Linked DNA regions of Drosophila melanogaster. The gene in region 2 interacts genetically with the main gene of each other region. Each region holds a gene or a part of one and is shown on either strand. Other genes may lie near its edges. The genes, in order: Hip1, ac, fru and hry.

Evidence for each region.
Region 1: of ac (region 2) and Hip1, changing one suppresses a phenotype caused by changing the other (phenotypic suppression), as found in Drosophila melanogaster (one study listed by BioGRID).
Region 3: of ac (region 2) and fru, changing one enhances a phenotype caused by changing the other (phenotypic enhancement), as found in Drosophila melanogaster (one study listed by BioGRID).
Region 4: of ac (region 2) and hry, changing one suppresses a phenotype caused by changing the other (phenotypic suppression), as found in Drosophila melanogaster (3 studies listed by BioGRID).

The regions. Positions count from the first base shown.
Region 1 is NT_037436.4:12,767,458-12,775,215, forward strand, and holds Hip1 (huntingtin interacting protein 1), read right to left. Parts: upstream 6,117-7,758; 5' UTR 5,854-6,116; coding exon 5,818-5,853; intron 5,763-5,817; exon of another isoform or gene 5,287-5,762; intron 5,127-5,286; coding exon 4,705-5,126; intron 4,646-4,704; coding exon 3,915-4,645; intron 3,859-3,914; coding exon 3,749-3,858; intron 3,685-3,748; coding exon 2,938-3,684; intron 2,882-2,937; coding exon 2,446-2,881; intron 2,380-2,445; coding exon 1,975-2,379; intron 1,918-1,974; coding exon 1,430-1,917; 3' UTR 1,105-1,429; coding exon of another isoform or gene 1,054-1,104; 3' UTR 975-1,053; downstream 1-974. Other genes in the region: Vps13D (vacuolar protein sorting 13D), read left to right, coding at 1-895, 1,054-1,104; CG32106 (uncharacterized protein), read right to left, coding at 6,540-7,758.
Region 2 is NC_004354.4:367,938-371,529, reverse strand, and holds ac (achaete), read right to left. Parts: upstream 1,500-3,592; 5' UTR 1,437-1,499; coding exon 831-1,436; 3' UTR 583-830; downstream 1-582. UniProt on the Drosophila melanogaster protein: AS-C proteins are involved in the determination of the neuronal precursors in the peripheral nervous system and the central nervous system.
Region 3 is NT_033777.3:18,542,193-18,547,431, forward strand, and holds the start of fru (fruitless), read right to left. Parts: upstream 3,395-5,239; 5' UTR 2,921-3,394; intron 1-2,920. UniProt on the Drosophila melanogaster protein: Probably acts as a transcriptional regulator.
Region 4 is NT_037436.4:8,674,020-8,680,083, reverse strand, and holds hry (hairy), read right to left. Parts: upstream 4,326-6,064; 5' UTR 3,835-4,325; coding exon 3,736-3,834; intron 2,713-3,735; coding exon 2,617-2,712; intron 2,480-2,616; coding exon 1,661-2,479; 3' UTR 831-1,660; downstream 1-830. UniProt on the Drosophila melanogaster protein: Pair-rule protein that regulates embryonic segmentation and adult bristle patterning. Transcriptional repressor of genes that require a bHLH protein for their transcription (e.g. ftz).

The DNA.
Region 1 (7,758 bases), on a different chromosome or scaffold from region 2:
CGATTTCCTTGGTAATCCATTGGGATTTGCCAACGATCTTTCGGAAGGAGTATCCGGACTGATTTTTGAGGGCTCCGTCAAGAGTTTGGTGAAAAATGTTACGCATGGCATATCGAATTCGACGGCGAAGCTAACAGAAACGCTGTCCGATAGCCTGGGAAAAGTTGTGCTGGATGATCACGACAATGAGACGAGGCAACGCATTCTGGAACTGCAGTCCAATACATCCGGCGGTCACCTTGCAGCGGGTCTGAAGGGTCTCGGATTTGGACTGCTGGGCGGAGTAACGAGTATTGTAAGACACACTTACGATGGTGCCACTTCCGATGGCGTTCCTGGCTTTCTCAGTGGATTGGGAAAGGGCTTAGTAGGCACTGTCACCAAACCGATCATTGGTGTATTGGACCTGGCATCGGAAACTGCCAGTGCCGTTCGTGAAACAAGCCGAGATAGTCACAGAAACGCTCCGGAAAGGAAAAGGCTACCCAGATGTGTGACTGGTGCTCCTGGTGGTCTTTTGCCATTGTATTCCAATCGCCAAAGCAAGGGGCAGCAATATCTGTACCTAATCAATCAAAAGAACTTTTCGGAGAAGATAATTTCATATGAACCCAATCTATGGAGCGACAAGGAGGCTAGATTGCGCTTGCTGGTTTCTACAGAATACGTACGAATCTTTTCACTAAGCGACGCCAATCCAACCATTATGTTTGAATGTCATGTTAGTGAGATTCTTTCGTGCCATCCAGTGGTAACGAATGCCGGCACAACGCCAACCACGAGCAGCAGGGCGTCGGCCAGTCACTACATCGAGATATCAACCAATCTTCCAAAGATTACCAGGCCCAGGATACGGTGTCGTTCCGAGGAATGTGCTGAGGCAGCATCAAGATGCGTAAGTAGAAATCATCTTAGCAGAAATTAGTAGAAATTATCTTTCAATAATAAACTATTATTGTTGAAGCGCAGACTTTGTTTATCATATAATTTATTTACTTTTACAAATTTTGAAATGATTATCACATATATTCCATACTTGTCTTTTTCTTTTAGATAAACTACGCTAAAAGTGTCTTTGATGAACGTGAACATGCCGTTTTATAAAATGCAATAGGTCGGTTCGTGATAATAAACAAAAACCTTTTGACAACAAATGTTACATTTTATTTTCTTTGGCAATAAGTGCTATTTTAATTTCAAGTAGTAAGTAAAATAAACATTTAAGAAATAATGAACCCACATACTATGGTGTGATATAAATCAAGGATCAAAAAGCGATCGACACGGAATACTATAAACAGATATTACGGATTCATTGTAGGATAAAATGACCGCAGTGTAAATATTGTGTAGATATATTATTTGTCATGACGGGCATTAATACAAAAAAGAATGTTTGTAAAGTTAGTAACATTAATAAATATGGTATTTAATAATCGGCATTCTTGTAATGCTCCTTACGAAACGATGAGAGTTTTAGTCGTTGCATTTGGAGAGCTTGTTCGATTTCGAGTACTTTAACATGAATTTCCATTTCCATCGTTTTAATCTGTGATGGCGTTAGCTTAGAAAGTTCTATTTCACTCTGCTGCTCCAGCTGGGAGTTGCAATCCTTCACGGTGGCGACCAGAGTTCCTGTTGCCTGCGTTACGCTTCGCGAGGCTTTTGTGAGGTCGGTTAGCTTTTGACTATTACGTTCAGCCTTGACTTTGCTCGCAATAACCATTTGGGTCGTGCAGGCAGCAATTTCTTGGGCAGCCACAATGAGTTCAAAGTTCTTGCCAGATTCACTTTCAATAGCCTTGTTTGCAGCTTCCACCAGATAGTTGGCTGCCTTCGCCACACTTTTCGAGGCGGATATCAAACCATCTGACCACTGACTGTTCCGCCTATAAAACTCATTAGCACTCGCATTTCCTGAAAGAGTAATTACTTGTCAGTAACTTCATTGAATTAAAAAATATTGTTAGCTACCTTTTTGGGAAGCCACGATTTCGTGTTGCAGGAGACGAGATTTTTGGATTAGAGCTTTGACACATTCCATCAAGGTGGTACACGCATCCACTATTTTTCCGTTTACCTCTAAATTGGTTTGGTTGTCCTTCTCTCGAGCCTTTGCCAGTAGATCTGTAATTTTGGAGGCTGCATCATCAATCGCAGCGTCCATCTCGCGAAGCTCGATTTCGAGCAGCTTATCTAAATCAATCTTCTGTTCAAATGATGCCTTTATTTTCTCAATCAGCTTTTCAATATCTCTCAGCTTTGTTTGTATATCAGTGATTGTTTTCTGTCTCTCGGGTTCTTTTGTTTCATTATTTAATAAGTATTGGAACAATTGACAGATATCGGTACATAACAAATTTGTTTTTGAGAAAATTTCTGCAAAATAAGTAATACAAAGTTAGTTTGCTGTAGGTGGTTATGTTTTTAGTGTTATCAACTTACCCTGACCTGTCTCAATTGCAGTTGTTGTTTTGTAGATAACATCACATTGATCGTATAGTTTTATAAATACATAACCCAGATACATAACATTTTGCAGTCCTTCGGTTGAAGCAACATAGTTTATAGCCGATGCGTTATTGAACTTATTTAAAATGGTCTCCATTTCGCGTATTATGTTTGGCACCGCATCCAAAGGCTGTTGTTCCGATCCGCTCAACTTCGAATTGCATATTTCCTTTACAGTCTTGATCACCAATTTTCTGAGTTCACTCAAATCGGTACTACAGATTTGGTACGAACTTGTCACGGCATCAATTTGCTGTGTTGCTTGGGTTAGTTTTACCTCAGTAAGCGAGAGTTTGCTTTGCAAATCCTCGTTACGCTGACCCGCTGAAGCATTTTCCTGCCTCAATTGATTCACAATTTCCTGGGTTTGCTGAAGAAAGAAAAGCAGTTTCTATAATTTTCTTGATTTAAATTGGTTTCATTTACCTGTAATGCACTCTCATTTTGCTCCAAGTTGTTTAAAGTTAGCTGCAATTGAGCATTTTGTGCTTCGCTGTTGTTTTTATGCTCTATACCTAACTGCTCTATTTTAGTTAATAGCACTGATTTTTCCGCTTCAAATGCCTTTAAATTGTTTTGAATTTCCAATGCCTTTAAGCTGATTTGGCTTTCTGCGCTGGACAGCTGAAGCTTAACTTCATTGAACTCTTTATCCTTTTGTTCCAAGTTATCCATTATTTCTTGCAATTGAGCGTTTTGAGCTTCACTATGGCTTTTACTTTCAACACTCTGTTGTTCAATCTGAGTTAAGAGCAATGCCTTTTCCGCTTCAAAAGCTTTTAGCATTTTCTCGATATCCTCGGTCTTTGCATTTATTTGGCTTTCGGCGTTCGACAGTTTTTCCAGGGTGTCATTGAGGTTTCCATTAAGCTCTTCGACTTTGAGGCAATTTAGCCTCAGGTTTTCGGAAGTGGAAATAATATCGAGTTCCTGAATTTCCTTTTGTTTAACCACATCATCGAATTTCTCCTTCATCTCGTTTTTGACTGCTTCAAGATGTGCTATTTTCTCCTTGTGCTCTTCGATTTGCTTTTGCAGAATCAAGTTTGTTTTCTCTTTTTCCTCTACGTTTACTTTAATTTTGGAAATTTCATTGGTAAGCTCCTTAGTTTCCAACAATAGTTGTGAGTTTACTTGTTTCTCTTTATTTAAGGACTTGTTGCAATCACTTTGCTGATATAAAAGTATATGAATGAATATTAGTATAGGAAATAGAAAATATTGTGTTTCTGCATACCTCTCTCAGCAGCTGAATGTGCTCATCTCGAATCTTTGTGTATAGAGTTTTAAGTTTATTAAACTTTTCCGACGACAACTTGTGCTTTTCTTCTTCCTCCATAGCTTTTTCTGAAATACAAGGTATTTTTATATGACTTCATTATGTTTAATAAGCATTTAATTACGTAAAAGAATTGGGTTCTGATTCAGTTGCATCTCAAGATCGTCATTTTGCATCCGAAAGGTGGCACACATTTCTCTCGCCAAGACCAGATCATTTGACAGCACAGTATTGTTCTGTTGCAACTCCTGAACGTCGTGTCTGTAGCTTTGCTGCAGTGCGTCGAAATTTTTTTGCATTGCGTCCAATTTGAATGACAGCTCCTCAATGCTAGCCTCTTTCTCGCTGATTATACCCTCCAACATGCTAAGCTGCTGCTGGGCTTGACTGAAGGCTTCCAGCTCGTGATTGTTGGTATCCACAAGGTCTTCAACAACCGGATCGGGCTCCTGGGGAACGTGAACCACTGGCGGTACATAACTGGTGAAATCGTTTTGGGACTTGAAGTTAGGACTTGAGTCCGGCAATTCCGGGATTGTTATTAGGTCCTTGAAATACTGAAGCGGTCGCACGTTGTTGTAAAAACTCTTCAACTTTAAAAACAGACCGTGAAAGCGATCTCTGTGTCCGGAAACAACGTCGTATGGTACACCATCGTGTAGTTTAAACATTAACCGAACGCTTAAATCGTACAACGCATTGGAATCCTGGATAAGGCAAACTATTGGCGCTAATCTACATTGTCCCTGCGGTGTCATCGACGACATTCTGTACTTTTCCATAGATGAAAATATCGTCAATTGCAGCGCAATTATATCCTCCAAGTAGTCGAAAATTTCCACGCACAGTTGAAAACTGGAATCAATGGTTCTGTCTCAGTAGTTTGAAAGTAATATATATCTATTTTTACTTACCAATAATTTAAATCCCTATCCACAGCAATGAAGAGTTCCGTGAACGAAATGTTCAGGGTGCCGGGAAACATTCGATTTTTGTCGTGGAAGTTTAATTTTGTGGCCAAGAGCTTACTATACGCCTGTATGCAGCATCCAATATCGTCCTGCAGCAGGCCCCACATTTTTCCCACCTCCAGTATCATCTTCTTGTGGCTCTGCGAGTGGCGGATGGCACTTTCATGACCCTCTCGCAGGACCTTGTGCAGCAGATGCGAAAACTTCCAGGCAGTAAATCTACTCTGCATCAAAGGCTGCCGGGAGATGATCATCCAGAATGTTTTGGCCTCTTTGGCCTTGTGTATCATAATAATAATGGAGCGGGCATGTTTGGTTTTGAGTGGCGCTTCCAGGCCATTTAAAGCTTTGGACACGCTGACGTTCTGAAATGAAATGTAAATATTATAGTTTAAATGGCTTTTTATTGTTGTACACTTTCGAAGAAGTGACTGACTCAGCTTATAAGATATGGACGGATTTTGGCGGACGATATCTATAGTTTTATACTTTTTAGTGGAATTCGATCTAAAGGGGGTGACTCACTGATCGACTATTTAGTTTGGAAGTGCAAACATTTCGATGCTTTTAAAAATAAGATTCCAAACACCTACACCATGTGTTTGATATGAATTTATGATAACAGAAGGTAATCTAAATACTGGATTTCACTTCTTATCGTGCCGAATTTGGGTTGATAATCAAAAAATTTGAAAGGCCTTTGTGTGCACATTGAACAATTGATCAAAGTGGATGTAGTCCGCATAGCATTCATTGCAGTTTCTAATTTTCTGGGTCATCCGAAGCGGAGAAACTTGGGATTAGCATGTAGTGTAGTCTCTGTGGTGTTGCAAGTCGTGTGAAAAGCTGATGATATTTCGAGCTGTTCCATATAATCTGGTTCAAGGCTGACTTCTTAAGTGAAATGTTTATGCATATTTGAGCGGCGCGCCTGTAGTTGTGTGCATAAACATTTAGGTATTTACACTATGCACATGATATGACAACATCCGTGTGCCTATAATCTGCTGTGGGTATTCTTGGCGGTTTTCTTGGCTTTCCTTTGGGCTTACGTACCAGGTGGTAGAACTCCTTTTCGGCGTGAGTTGCCATTGTTTACTGACAATTCTTGGCGTACTTGCTGAACAAATTCGAATCATTCGCAGCGCGATATATGTGCATTAGAGCAAAGACAGCAAAGACATTGGAAACGGGAGTTATCTTATCTTATCAACAATGTTGGCCATTGTTTTCGTATTGGTCGCGTTCGTATTCATTCGGATTCCGATCGTGTGCGTGTATGAAACAATGAGTGTAAGAGTAAATTAGTCATATAAACAAATGTTGTTTTCCTTTATCGATAAAAGTTAATAGAGCTGGGCGGTGTTCCGATATGCGGGCTTTACCCTATCGATTCGTTTCGATAGTCATCAACTTCTTGCATCACCATTTTGAGCGCGAAAAAAAATGTTTTGCAAATTTTTATTTTTTTCCATTAAATCGAAGGATATTTGAATTGAAATACACTTAAATGAACCAATATTTAAATTATAACATCGAACGCTTTCAATAAAACTTCAGTTAAGTTAAAAATTTAATTTAATTTGATTTTATACGATGGTTTAAAAAAAAGCTTTAGAATGTGTTTTTGAAATTTTTGTGTACTGATTTTCTAAAAAGATAGATTTTGTTCGATATTTATAGATCTGCTACCATATTTTTACTTTAAATAAAAGAACGACAATTTTAATTTGTTTTTAAAGTAATTTTAATTTAATGTATTCTTCCAACTGTTTGGATTAAATTTGGTATTCCGATTGATCATAGTAATCCAAATGTACATTTTGCTGTGGCCAAAACATCTCGGCTGGGTATTGGTTTTGTGGTGGAATGTAACGTCGATTGGGATCTGGAACGGATGTCATCATCAGTTGCGGATGATGATATTGATTGCTATAAGGACAAGCGTGGTGTCTGAAAGTAGGATGCTGTTCTCCGTGAACAAAATTTGGCTGCAGTGAAAATTCCGGTGGCTGGAAGTTGGAATCCATGCGTGTTATATTATACTTATTCACGGTGCGTTCATAGAATCCATCTGGAAGCATTCGAATGTTCTCTTTTAGTTGAGGATTGTAGTCAGGGTTTCTGGCCTGAGAGGAACTTGGGTCTGAAGTATGTACAGATTCCTGAAAATGATGATAGGATCCATGATCCGGCTGACATTGTTCCTTCATTTGAAATTGATGCTGCACGGCTGGTGCTGAAGCTGGTGACTTAGTGGGCATCCACTGATCCCGCGGATCTATAAGGTACCCTTCATCGAAAGGAGTGACATTTTGTGGAGCACTCACAGAGATCTGCGGTTGTAGCATATGATCCGGTGGCTTCGTAAATCCTTGATGGAGACTCGGAGGAAGACCCGTGTATTGATAAGGACACGAGTTACAGGGCGGTCGTCCACAGGTCTGGAGTAGAATTTCCCTGTTACAGGGAGTTCTTGTCTCTATAAGAACGGTGTTCCCATTGATATTTGCCTGGTTTCTGATCCCAGCACTTTCACAACTACGAAGTTTTCGAGGTTGCATTAGGGTTACCGTTTCCAGTGTTTCCACGTCAGTCGATGTATTGGGAGCTAGTAATTGGGAGTTCGGAGGTGGATCTGTCCAAGTTAAGTCAGTAGAATACCCAGAAGCTCCAACCATAGCTGAATTATGCGACCCGTCCTCGTTTTGATGACTATCGCGATGGCTTTGGTCACTATTATTTCTATCACAAGCTAGGTATTCATCTTGTCTGTGCTGGTCAGGATATTGGCTGCTGGCCGAAATGAATCTTCCGCCTTGCGAATTGTTTGAATCATTTCTTTGAATACGTCTAAGTACTGGGTAAGATGTTTGGGATGGGGCTTTTCGTCTATTTTCTGAGGATGGTGGATTGTTACTCAAAGAATCAGAAACGCCTGGATGATTCTGCAGATTCCTATTTCTCCTTTCAATAGATTGCTCTGCTGTATTCGTT
Region 2 (3,592 bases):
CTTATTTTCATTTTTCTGAACGTTGTCGGGGGCGATCTGAACAATTGCCGACCGTTGTTTTTTCGCTTGTTTCGGCTGCATTGCGGGAATAACTCAAAATTAGTTCATTCATCGATCGATCGATCGATCTCTCCGGAATTGTGAATTCTCAGGATCTTATTACCTTGACCGGTTCATATGCAAAAATGCAGCAGGTAAATATTTTGCCTTTTTCACCCTACTCAATCCAACTTTATTTATGCAAATCGGCGTTTTCGATCAAAAGTGTTTACAAAATGTTATTGTAATTTATCTTCATTGGCTAGTGATCTGTAAATACTTAACGGTTACAGTTTCGAATACTTTTTTCGGGCTTACCCCGAATAAAGCGTATACTAGGATCGTTTAAAGGAATGTACCAGGTAAAAGGAAGCGTGTCCTGTGGTATACAGGACAGGATCAAGTTTGTATCAAAACATTGCTACGCCCATATTCATAAAGCATTTGTTCATTAAAACTTTTCTGAATTTTACTCCTTTTGTACATAAATTTGTTTCACTTTAATTACCGTTTAATTTTGTTTACAATAAAAACTCATTTAAAATTTTATATATATCAGTTTAATGTCCTCAATGTATGCTATAAAAAAAAACTTAAATATAAATTGTCTTCCATTAGAAACTATCCTTAGAAACTATATAAAACCTTAAATACTAATTTATAAGGCAAAAAGGTAGTTCTAGGGAATATAAATACTTTGTGGCTGAGGTAATACTTGTTGGCCAATCAATGGTTTGATGTGTGTTATGGTTGGGTGCGACTAGCAATAGCTGAAGATTTGATCTGTTTTTTTACAGGTCGTCCTGCCAGAGTGATATATAGTCGAGGATGTCCTCATCTTCAGTACCAGAACTGCAGGAATTGTTACGGTAGTCTTCAAAACTGGCTTCCAACTTGGTATGAAAATTGTTAGGAGGTGTTGCTCCCGGAATCGTCGATGTTGCTGGCTTGCAATAAGAGCTAATGCTGTTGCAGGAACTTGTGCTGCCAGTTGGAGATTGCAACTGCAACTCTTGGTGCCAGGCGTATAAGTGTTGATGCTGTTGCTGCTGCTGAAAGTGCAAATGTTGCTGCTGCAAATGCAACTGTTTCTGTTTCTGCTGGTCGTTTTCATGAAGAACTTTCTGCAAGCGCCGTATGTACTCTACTGCCATTTTCAGTGTGCTAACTTTGCTCAGTTTTTTATTGGCGCCGGGACCAATTCCCCGGCGACCATTGCTTAAATCGGCTATTACGGCCGCAGGGATATGTTGTCGTAGTTGGCTGAAGCCATTGTTGACCTGCTTTACGCGGTTGCGTTCCCGGGCATTTCTCCGGATAACAGAGGGTCCATTAAAGGCCGAAGATGACTCCTCGTCGTCGTTGAAAACAGAGTGATTTTCGCTGCCCAAAGCCATTTTAAGAGATAGTATAACGTTATTGTGTGACGATGCTCCTTGCTTCAGCGCTGGCTCTGTTCTGATGCCCTTCCCCGTTCCGTTCAGGCTATTTATAGGTATCAGGGCCTAGGGATCCCACCTGCGTGACTACCTACCTGCCCCTGGAAAAGGTGCAACAGCATCATCACTGAAGGATCGTCTCTTGAGATGAGTGTTTTCTCTGATTTTAATAGAGAGGTAGTAATATTATCTCTCGTTCTCTCTGTAAAACGCAGCTGTTGGTGACCTGAGTGTTCCCGTTGTCGAGTGGGAAGAGTTTCTGAGTGTTTTTGCTCATTTTCAGCTGCCTGTCGTCCCCAAACGAAAACCTGGCCCTGTCGCGTGCCGGCTGCCAACCGGTTTAAAAAGGCAACAAGGTCCAGACATCAGAGCCAAGTAAAAACACCTCCGAAGTAAAAAGCTGTATCTCCTATTGAAAGTGGCCATCCAATTTGTATAACTAACAAAATACAACAAAATTAGTGGAATAGACTGTCATTACAATTATAAAAATGGGGACATTTACAATTTATACACTACCAAAAGTGTTTACGAAAAAATAATCTTTAATTAACAAGGCTAGGTATTTTAGACTTTTAAAAAATCTTTAATTTTATGTTAATACATTTAATTTAATTTATTTTATGTACTGATGACCTTCCGATCCCTGGATCATTCGGACATTATCTTAAACACTAGACCATTGTCGCTCGAATCCAAAGTCGTAGGAATTTTCAAGGCCAGCTCATCAACACCTCAGGCGGCGATCCATTCGGTCCTGCAACGAAACCTGATCAGCCGGAGGCACTTTTCTATTAACACTTCTAATGCCCCGGGGCCTTTATGCCCAACGTATCAGTTGTTGTTCCTCTCAGCCGAAAGCATTTTGAAAGCATTTAGGAGGTCCCCATTATTTCTTAAAACCATTGTCAGAATTCTGGTTGCACGCTAGGAAACCGTGCCGAAATAGATTTGTATTGGCACTAACTCACACTGAGCCTCGTTTAACACTTCGTTGCTGTAGCCCCGGGGGATTGCATAGCATTACATGTGAAAAGGACATCACAGGGCATCTAAGCACAGACATACCAGATGTCCAGAGGCTAATAAAATCAAACATATCCGGTCGACCTTGCAAAATCCGTGTTGATGTAATATAAATTTGCCGCGAAGCATTGAGACAAGGTATTCAGTGTCAACCAGGTTTATGAATTTGCAATTTTATTATTATTTTTTGCTTTGAATATCGCTTAGCGCCACAAGTGCTCTTCTTGAGCTTTTCTGCTTGATAACGACTAAATAGTACAATAAATGTTACTAAGACCCTGCGACAGAAAACCGAAAAATCGTGACGGGATAAACTTAAGGGGGGAAGAACTGAGATCTGAATATATGGCGTATCAACCGAATAAAGATGAAGTCGTCATTAATATTGACTCGGTCTGCCGATTACTTGACGTTGTTTCATTTATTCCACACTTCTTAAAGCGGCATGCTTGCGACACAGTAAGGCCTCGATTACAGGACAGCTTCCGTACATTTCAGTACCAATGTTGATCGTACAGGTATTCTAGCCGATAAATGAAAAGTATGTACAAAGTATGTACTCATGTTTATTAGGGTCTTCAAAATTGGGAGCTTAGAACTGTAGAGCCTACGCCTAGGTGCCATTGAATTAAATGTTGCTGCTGAATAAATAAAAAGTCAACTGTCAACTGTTCATGGCCATCAAATTGCCATCCAGAGATTACCGATCTCCGGACGATGAAAGGACGAAAGCCGCCCATGGTTTTGGTTTTGAGTCCCCCAACTTCCCACTCCATATAAATATCTGATTTATGAGAGCAACGCGAATATGTCAACGAAACGATGTCACATCTAAGGTGAGCGTTTTAACGCCGCCAATTCTATTTGGTCGATTTCTTATATCACCACTGGCAATAATATTTATGGCCAGGAGCAAAAGCCAAGCTCCTTTTGAAATTCAACGAAGAAAGATGGCGATTTTTGATTAATTGTAGTGCGAGAGCTTTGATTAATTGCTGGAGGCAAGCGGCTCCAATATAACAATTTGTTTTGGCGTTGCATTAAATCAGAAAGGAAGAAGTTTCTGGCATCATCACGGCGAGATATTG
Region 3 (5,239 bases), on a different chromosome or scaffold from region 2:
ATGGGCTCGACACCGGAAAGAGACCCAATAAAATACACAACACAGATATTAAGTTGTTTTTAATGTGCTCGAAATGCTGCCATCCTGTGGAACTCTGTGGGTTCTCTATGGGTTCTGCATCTGTATGGGGTTATGGCTCTGGGATTTCTACGAGGCTGTCTGTCACTGGGGGCCGGGCCATCATCATTCTGCCAACAAAATCGAATTACTTCCGTATGTTGTGGCATTGTGAGCACTAGCATTCATACATATATATATATGTATATATATCCCCAATTCATGCCGCACAACAACACGAGCAGCCGCCAGTGCAGCTCCATCTCGACACTTCACTTCACTTGTCCTTGTCATCCGTTACAGACCGCCCTTTGGCCCCAAGCCACCCCCCCCCCTTTTACTTCCACCCATATTTTACCCATATTTTCCCGTGCTTCCCCCGACTTTTCCCACCTCCCAACTTGTTGGACTTTTGTAACGGTTCTGGCACTGGCTGTTCATCAGGCTGCAGTCGCAGCAGTTCGGCTTACACACAATTTACAAAATAACCTCAATCCACCCACTCAATCTCGCATTCCCGCGCCCCGCTGGAAAACTGCGTCCCTGCCTCGCAGGGGCCCTTCACTCAGTCACTCAGTCAGCCGACTGGGAGAGTGTGTAAATTGTCTTGTGTAAATATGCAAATTTTTCTTATTTTCATACCCTGAAAGGGAGTCGCACTGCTGCAACAAGAACTTTACAAGCCTCTCAGGAAAATGCAGCCGCACTAGTACTGTTTTATGAAGTAAAACTAGTAACTTTGGTAAGCACTTTTTTGTAAGTGCTATTCAGAATATGCTCAACTGTATAGGAGTTGTATTAAACAAATGCGACTTTAAAAATATTTAAAGAGTTTATTCAGCATTTCCTTCAAGCAATTTTTTTCTACGAAGGAAATCCTTTGAGATGTATCTATTTATCTAATGAAATTTAAAATATAATTTTGCCAAATCATTATAAAAATTAATATATATACTCCCGATTTTTTCCTAATCCATTTAGTTTACAAGCTCTAACTTGATTTTCTGTTTCATAATAAGATTAACTGAAATATTATATACTCTTGCATCGTTTGAGTTCACATTTTTTAATTTAAAGTTGATATGGTCTGCTTTTTACTTTATTTTAACTCATATAATAAGAGTAACTTTCTTAAATCATCCTAATTTCTACCGAAATAGATTCCCATCTATTTTTAGGCACTTTTCGTGCAAGGGTATTAAGCGTATCGACTTCCTGGGGTGTATCCTGTCAATCCTGTTTTTATTGTCAACGTTGTTGTTATTGTCTGGAGTGTGGATAGGGATCGGGGGCGCTGTGGGCGGGGCGCTGGCAGTTCGTGTAAACAAACCAAGGCGTCGGATTAAAAAGTTTTGCATTACAAAGAGTTTTCGGTGGACGGACGATGGGGACGGAAGCTTGGGAAAATGTTTTGATTATTTAACTGCAAGTTACGATAAAACTAATTGCAATTACAAGCGGACTCTTTCCCTTTATGGCCCCTAATGAAATTGGCAATGCCAAGGCTGACGATTCAGCACAACTCAAATCAAACTCGGACGCAAACTTCGCACTGCAATTTTATTGGCCCGGTTCAATTTGAATGGTTTGCTTTCTTTGTTGGCCTCTGCATAAATTTTCCTCGGGCAATATTGATTTCCATTACAAATCCAATATTAAACTATGCCCCTGAGAGCGATTACTCGATTCCTACCGTTTTGCTTACTTACTTAAACCTTTTGTAACTCAACGAAATTGAGGACATGGCCAGGACACGGCCAGGATGCACCCGGCCCACAGATTTGTAGTTATTACAAAGGATCATTAAGAGCGTAGATATATTTTCCCTTTAGACTTGTCATTTAATCTCTGGAAATATTTACTACACATTCCTACCTCATAATTTGTCAAAATATTTTTGGGTGCCTTTAAAAACCAAATTTATGTTGGCCGGGGGAGATGTAAGAGTACTCAAATATATTATTGAATATAAATTGGTAACACGGATTAGCCAGTTTGCAATTGGCCTTGGTCTGCTGAACTTCTGAATAAACTGAATCAAATGCAGATGAAGTAAACTGATATTTGCTAATAAAATATAAGAAACTGAAATTTGAATTGTGCTCAGCCAACTTTAGGTTTTGTTGTAATTTAATTTGCTAGTTAAAAGTTTTCGAAGATTTTGTTGTTATAACTGAACCGAATGTTTCTTAGCAGTATAGTATTCTTGCAAAACACCTCAATGTGGTTTAGAAAAATAATTTATTGTAATTTAATTTAGGTATATCTTAATTCTGTCAGTAGATTCTATGATTTAATTTTCTAAAAATTCTTTGTAATTATTAAAGGTAAATAAGGACCATATATTTGTCTGACCTGTTATTAATTATTTTATACATCTGTACTGATGTGAATGGATGAATATTTTTTAAATGTGTTAACGTAGTGAATTTTCTTGCAGTACCATAGATATTAACTGCTTGGATACTCACTCAAATATTTTAATATATTTATTTTATATTAAAACTTGGAAACCCCAACGTTTTCGAACCTATCTAACATTTTTAAATATAAAACCTAATTGATAAACACGTACTTCATAATAGATAGCACATAGTGAGAATGCACTTTAAATATTTTTAGAACCCACATTATAAAATTTTCAAAAGACTTAGTTAAAATAAATATTTATACAAAGAAAATGAGCAAACAAATGTTTTTTTTTTAATATTGGTTTTGTACCTGTGCCCTTAACGTATTCCACAAAACCACTTAATACAATTTGAACAACATAAAATCTGCTCTCAGAAGAGCATATCACCTGCACTTTAAGTAACTTTACATAGGAATACCTGGCTCTTGTTGGCCGGGAACACAGACTCACCTGCTTTTATTTGACCTTATGCGGCTGCAACTTGTTGACTTTAATGAAAATGCACTCAGCAGAGGCTGACTGGCACACACAAAACGCTGGCACAACAAGTTAATATGTATTAGCTAGTCGCTAGTATGTCTGTAGTATCTTGGCTTAAAACGGCACTCGGTGAGACACCAACAGAAAAAAAAAGGACAAACAAAATCGGGCGGCACTCGCACACTCAAACGTACGCACACAGTTGCAAAACAAGTCAAGCGCGAAAGGACCGACTAAAACATGGCTAACATGTTTGGCTAATTGGCGTTTCTAGCGCCGATTTTTACAGCGCTCTAGCATTTATGTAAGCGGAATGTAAAACGCTTTACAGGACTTCAAAGTCTGGATTGGATTGGATTTGAATTGGAATGTTGTGGCAGGTCGTTCGGTATGTCGGCTGCTGATTTCCTTCGAAGGGATTGTGTGAGCTGTGCGTCCTTGCTGAAGGAGCCGCCGCGTCCAACTGACTGCTGCTGGATGTGCAAGCTGCGATTGTTGCAACGACTCTGCTGTCGCAGCACCAACGAAACGCAGCAGCAGCAGGCGCAGCACGGCGACAGCAGCAGCGTCAAAGGCAAAAGCAGCAGCAACACATAAACGCAGTACATGGTGGGTTCGGTGGAATACATATACATGCTCGTTGCTGCCGAAGTCCTTGCAGTCGAAGGGTTGTGTAGTTGCACTTGTAGTTGCTCGTGTTGCAACACACACAGCAGCAGCAGCAGCAGCAGCAACAGCAGCAACACGACATCAACTTCGGCCCACATTGTGCAATTGGCTTAGTTCCCAGTCAACAACTGGCCGCCTTTACAGTGCCCGTTTACAGCGAAGAGAAATGCTCTCGATATCCTTGGCTGCTTTCTCTCCGAGGATTTTCTCGAACAGCTGTTCGCGCTTGCCGGCTCTTATCAGTGAAATGGTAACAGCTCCTGTTAGCGTGCAAATGCACTTTTCTTTTCTTGGCTTTCCGCAGTGGCATTTCTTTTCGTTTCCTTCCTCTTCCTTGCCTTACTTTCATTTCCGTTCCTTTCGGTGGGGTTTGATTTATTATGTAAAAGTACAAGGACACTGCCACATACAGTGGGTACTCAATTAACTAGCTTTAGAAAACGAAAATATATATATTTTTAAAAAGGCAATGTTTACTTTAAGTAAATATTAATTGAATATAATATGATTTCAATACGAATAGCAAACATAAGTAGGCAACTTAACGTTAATAATTGATGAGTAGGGAAAACTAACAAACAATTTATCAAAAATGTATTAAATATATGCTTTCGCTACGATCCCGATTACAGGGTGTACACTGTACCTGCGGAGCTGCGTGTGCGTGCCAAGTGTTGGACAAACAAGCTGAGCACTAAAGCCGGAATACATTTGAGACTCTTGCAATCGACTTAATACGCCGCTAGAAGGGGGCACGATACGGCCTCATTGCCCCTACGGGAATGACAACCAATATGAAAATGGATTACCACAAAATGCAAATTGCGAAATGGCCAATTGATACCAGCGTCTAGCCACCTAATCGTCCGATTAAACCACCTTAAAATCGCAAAGCAGCCAGGCATTAATTACACGAAGTAAATACACCGACTCGGTTTACTCGGCAATGATAAAATCTATTATTAGAGAGGCCGAGTGGAAAGTTTTCCACCAACCAAGCCAACCAACGTTTGCTGTTGCCAACCGGCGTTGTTAGCAGAGCGCTGCTAAAGGACCTCTGTTAACTGGGCCGGCACGTGTTTCTCTCTCGCACGCACACAGCGAAGCGGATTTTTTGATTCTGTTTTGATTAATAGCTTCGTTGCAAGCTTATCAAGCGCCCACACACACACACACACACACACACACAAGCGCGCGGCCAGGAAGTGCAACAATGTCACGTGGCCGGCATTTGCCGAAGTCTCCTCTCGCCAGGACTCGCGCTCGCTCTCATTTCGAGTTGCCCCCATTTTCTCTCTCTGTAAGGCCTGCGCTGTTTACAGCAGTTAACTTTTTTCCAACGCCCTGCAATCGAACATGTTGCAACTATCCGTCTCTTTTGCGCATTTCCCCAGCCCATCGCAACAACAACAATAAACGAAAATAAACAAAAACAAATATAGCACGAGCAGCAAAAAATCGAGTATTACATAAGTCGGTGCTCCACCTACGCGAATTGGAATATAGTGCTGGCCCTATGTGACTGTCCTATATGAAAGATCGGGTATTTTGGTCGGTTCCTCGCTTTTGGCGAATGAAAACTGCGAAAATGCATTGTTCGTTTTAATTGCCAAGGAGCCG
Region 4 (6,064 bases), on a different chromosome or scaffold from region 2:
GGTTGCTACTGGGTAAGAGATTTCCCTAATGGTTGATAAACTTGTATATATCACTGGATTCGAGTGGTTAGTTCCAGGGAATTTCCAAATGTATCCGTAGCTATCGGTCATCCATGATCCATGGCGATATCCGATTTAGTTCCAACTAACGCGAACCGGATCGACTTTCCTGCGGCTATAGTGGCCAACTTCTTGACATTCCATATCCCTAAGAAATTCGGTATTTTGCTGAATCGTTAGCTAATGGAATTTCGGATTTATTGCAATCAGAGCTAACCTGCCTTGATTTTAAAATATACCCTTGTGCGCCTTAACTTTTGCTGATCACTTCGATTGGAATAACCAATGATTAAATTGCAAAATATTTTAAAATATTATCGATCAAAGGATTATAATAAGTATTTATTTCGTCACAACTGTTTCGAATTACTGGCCTATCGAACGGATGTGTGAAAATCAAGGCATTCCTATATAATGTTTATGATGCACATATATCTATATCCGTTACGGTCTGGCCACAGAAAAACCTTCAACTCGTCGTGCCGATTATATTAGCAGAAACGGACATAATCGAGCCCCTTAAAACGTAGTTGTATTATCGTCGAAATCCCCGCCGATCCTCTCCAGCAAAATGAATTTCACCATTGGCATTATAATAATTAGCGTCGAAATTTGCTACGATAAGTCGGGGGGCTCGATAAGTTTCCTGTCACTCAAAGCGTTTGACCTCTAAAACAAAAAAAAGAACCATAATGGGACTTTCACCCGAATGAAAAAAAAACCCAGGAAAAGATACCCCAACCACAATAACAAATCCGTTTTGCGTATTTGATTTTTTAGTAGAATCTTTTAAATTTATTTCTTTTTAGTGTGTTGTTTGTTTGTTTTTTCTTTCTTGTTGATTTTTTTGCTTTTGCTTGCATCAAATTCTTGTTTTGTTTTCTTAGAAGCTCATTATGTTCACTATATCACGTGGCCTTACGAATAGATTTGTGTGTTTTATAAATATAATTATTCTTTGATTAGACTTAAGAGCGAGAGAAACCCTAAGCGGCTTAGCTGGCTATGGTACAAAACCTATACTTAAATGGAGATGTACGACTATGTGTAAGAGTTATGCTTTTGCGTTTATCTTTTTCATAAAAAGTATTTCAGCTTTTCAGGTGCTTATTTTCGCATTTTCATTTTCTGTGTTTGGAAGACTTTTGCTGATTTGCTGTTATTCAAAGAGTAATACATGATACATGAGGCAATTCAACACCAAGTACTTGGACTGAGGTAGTTTGGCGATGTCCTGGTAGAATACCGTTCTCTCAAATCGATTACATAATATAATAATAAATAAATTATAACAACGTTTGCGTGTGTGTGTTTGTGTGTGGGTGCGTCTGATGAAGGTCCTTAGCCTCGTCGACGGGTTTCCAGGATATAAGCCAGGAAACTAAGCCAACGAAGTTGTGAACCGAGTTTAGGATTCGCATGTTTGCAACACTTCAAAGCAACATTTGCGCAATCCCGGCGAATGATGTGAAATGTCTACGCGCATGCGCACAACGCCTGCGCATGTGTGCGAGTTGGATGAGTTGTGGGGGGTCAGTCTTAAAAGCGGGAGATTCGATAGGGGTGGCTATGCTATATGATATGCATATGCAGACACCCTCTACCAGGGCCGCCAGGGCTGCTCCTCCTCCTTGATCTGCTTCTTGATCACCAGCGACAGGGGCTGCTGCTCCATTGGCACGCGCTGGATGACCGATGGCTTGATGTCCATGGGCTCGTAGCTAGAGTTGGCCGGACTGGGCGGGGCGTAGCTACAGCTGCTGCTGCTTCCGGGCGCCGACTCGTATCCGGCGGAGGAGTGCGAGCTGGCGGATCCGGTGCTGGCTGTACGCTGGGGCATGCTGACCAACATGGGTTGCTGTTGTGCTGCTGCTGCGGCCGCTGCTGCTGCTGCGACGGCGAGTTGCTGCTGCTGCTGTTGGTGCTGCAGCAACTGTTGCTGCTGCTGCTGGGGCAGGCTCTGGGGCAACACGAGGGCAATGCTACCGTTGGGCAGCTTGGTGGGGATCACCTGCATGCCATTGGGCAGAAAGTAACCGCTGGCCGTCTGCTGGATACCAAAGAGGTAGGGTGCCGCTGCTCCCTGCTGGCTATCCTGCTCCGGCGAGCTGGGCGGCGAGGGCAGCATCTGGGCGTGGATGGACTGCTGTTGCTGCTGGCGCTGCTGCTGGTGCAGCTCTGTCTTAACGCCATTGATGCAGTTGCTCAGGTGCTGTAGCAGGCGACGACGCTGGGCGGGCTCGATGCCGGGAAAGCGGCTAACCTCGTTCACACAGTCGGCGAATCCGGCCTTGAATTTGTTCACAATCTTGGGATCGGCGGCCTGCTGCATGGCTGCCTGCTGGCGCTGCAGCTCCTGCAGATGCTTTACTGTCTTCTCCAGAATGTCGGCCTTTTCCAATTTGGAGTGGCGAGCCGGCTAAAAGTAGAGAGAGAAAATAATTTGGAAATTAGTCAATGATTTAAACTTTTAAAAAATATTTGAGATAATTTCAAATATGTAGTTTTTTTTATTTTATTTGTGGCTTTAAACTTATATTTTTGTCAGATACTTACGTCTTTTTTGGTGGCATCCAGAATCAGAGTCTTGAGTTCATTGAGACAGTTGTTAATACGGGCACGTCGGCGTTTCTCCATGATGGGCTTGTTCGACTGCAAGAGGCAAGAAATGGAAAAAAAAAACATCGATTAGTCACGGCTTTTGCACGGCTAATTTGACCTCATGCAACGACCCAAAAATAGAGGAAGCTGCATGGGTCTTCAATTGGATTGGAGGAGATCAAGGAGGAGGCGGCGTAGGTTGGGGAGCGGATTGACTGGCTGGCGGCCAAATTTAGTCGCACGGCGCGTGCTCTATTTATAGCGCCACTCGGCCGAGGCATTTATTTAAAAATAGTTTGGCGGTTATAAATTACAGGCAGTGGCTATAAATAAACCAACCAGGTATGAGCAAAAATAAAGAGAATGTGACAAGGTCAGAGCGGGAAATTCGAAGATGCCATAACTAGGTACATTATTATCTAGGGAGCACAAGTTGCCAAATTTGGACTCGCATGAAGTCAGTTTTTTTTTTTCTGGCCAACTCATTGAACCGGTGCCGTTCGAATGGCCAAAAACGGCGGCTGATGACCGACAATTGCAGCCACCACGCGACGCACGCGCCAAGTGGCAGCCAAATCCGAATCCGAGTCCGAATCTGGGGAGCTGGTGGGCAGCTACGCCAGCCAATTTTGGGCGGCACTCATGAATGGATGGAGCGTGTGTGTAGTCGGAGTAGTATGCCATATGCCATATAGTAAATGCCACCAACGCGACGCGAGATAAATTCGCTTTGTGTTGGCGCGCCGACGGCAGTTGCGGCCTTTTTTTGGTCTGGCTCAGAGTGTTTTTCTTTTTTCGTATTTTTATTCCCAGCCAGCCATGTGGGAGATGGCTAAAAAGGAAATGCATTTGGGCAGCGGGATTGATGGGGCCAGTCGCCCACAGTCGCGAATGGAAATCAACTTGAGCTCGAAGTGGGTGGCTCTCAATTAGGGGAATTCTCGGTTTGGTTCGCTTCAGTTAATCCACAGATTTCGGGGAACTAGAGGTTCTGATTTAATCCATTGACGGGGTTTTTTGTTTTTGGCTTTGGATTTTTTTTTTCGAGTCTTATTTTTCTCGAAAGAAACTTACCCGACGGTCACTTTTGAGCGGCGTCTCCTTGAGCTGGGCCGGCACAACGGCGGTGCCCAGAACGTTGGTCATGTTGGCTGCTGTTACGCCGGTAACCATTTCGGTCAGATATTGTTTGTTGAGTTTGAGGCACAGTTTGGTTTTCACTTGGCAGCAAATCTGAATTTGCTGCTCTTTGCAATATAAGTTCACTGCTTTTTTGCTTTTTTTAGAATAACTCAAGTTGTCAGTTTTTTTTTTTTTCAAGTTCACTTGGTGGTTTCACTTTCGCGCAGCGTCGCAGAGAAGCACGTAAAATGGTATTGTGTCTGGGGGGGTTCTCTAGATTTCGATTCGGTTTATCAAAGCGGAGCGATAGAACCGCACGCTACGAAATACGGCAGGCGAATGAGCAGCAGGTTCTGGCTGCAGTGCGATTAAAAGACCGAAACGACTCGGCACGAAGCAGAAGATCGATCGTTCGGCTTTCGGATGGTTGCGCTATATATATGTATGTATATATATATATAAGTATTTGCTTTACTGCGTCTGGATGTTGCGGAGCGTAGCGGGACTACCTTATCGCTGGGCTCTCGGCGGAAGACTGACGATTGATCGACAGGTTCGTAGGCTAAATCGCCGCTGCGAGACGCGAGCGCGAGCCACACGACCGCACCAATACAATTGCACTGGCATTGCGGCTACCTAGGGGTATACATTATGCGCTACCTGCTCGCTTCAGTGTGTGTGTGTGTGTGTGCGTGCTCACGCTTGTGAGCGGTACCTAAAGTACACACCGCGTTACTCATACGCCCCCGTGGCTCGCGGGAATGGGCATTTCTTCCTTTTTGGAAATCACACTGCGAAACCCCCATTGGTGATCGTCGGTCGGTCGGTCGATCAGCGATCGGTTTGGCTTGACTCTGCTGGGCTCTGCTAACTGAGGGATTCACAAGAGGCTGTGTTTCTGGCTGTGCTGTTGGTGATGGTCGCGGTGGTGTTGGTGTTGTTGCTGCTTCTGCGGTGGTTTCTGGTGGCTCGCCGTTCGTGGTTTGCTGATTCATGCGGCCAACGCGACGACGTCCCATAGAAGGTGAAAATAGCTGGCTATATGACGCCACCCCAGTGCGACAGGTTCGGTTTTTTGTGCTGTGTACTGTGTATCTGCGGCTCGGGGGTCGCTAAACAGTAAACAAGATCACAAGGTTGTGCGCACGCTAGGCGGAAGTGGGTGGTTGGGTGGTTGGGTGGTTGGGCGATCGGGCAGTGGGTGGTGGCTATAGTTATCCCCCTAGCATTTTCCAGACCAGTCTGTACAACCGACTCATTCAGCATGCCGTACGCCTCAATTAAGTGAAGGTCGCCCTTTTGGCTTTTGATCGATAGCCGCCAACGGGCTAAATGAAATGGAAATCGCTGTGGACAAGGCTGCGTGGATCACACGTGCTCCGCCGGACGCTTAGATTCAGCTTGATGGCTTCTACGTGCAGCGTTGGATTTTCACGTTTTTCATATATTATTTGTTGTTTTGTTTTGGAGTAATGATTTATCGAAGGTTGACTATAATTACGCGACACGCGGAATAGTCGGGCATCAGAAAACTAACCATTCATTAGCAGAATGAGAAGAGGGGCATTGCAGTGAAAACTGGGAATATTACAGTGAAAATGAAGCTTAAATTATATTGTTTATTTGGTAGTAAAAAGCCAAAGTGCGTCACACACATTTCGTTACAACCGAAAGTGATATTTTAAATAACTGCTTAAGCCATCTATTATTTACAAAATATGGGTTAAGTTTTAAGAAATGGTAATAACCATGTAATTAGTTTAACCAGGCTGAGCTCAGTAAAGGTAGATGACACATATTTAGGTTACACGATCTATAAAAGGAAATTACGTTATCTTTGACGTTTGTTCTTGGGAAATATTTTTAAAGCCTGACTTGGACTCTGACCACTGATTAGTGAAGTTATACCAAAACCACGAATCGTCAACAAAGTTACATTGGAATGAGTCAGTCAGGCTTTAAACATTCAAGTTGGCTAAAAACGGGTGTTTACAATATTTTTTTTATAGCGAAACCACCTGGCAGTGTTTTTATAGAAACTAATAAAGTTGACTCTAATGAAGATGAGTAAAAAAACGTTTAGAAGTTAATTTGATTTTACTACACTTAATTTCTGCTTAATAATTAAATGAAATTGAACTTAATCAACAATCACGTCTTACAAATATGCATATCTATCGATTCGTGAAAATACTCAAAAAGTTTGGGGAATTTCTGACATTTTTGACGGTTGTCTAAAGTGTTGTGCGTTTTGTGGTCGCCAGAGAAGGTTGTTATGCCG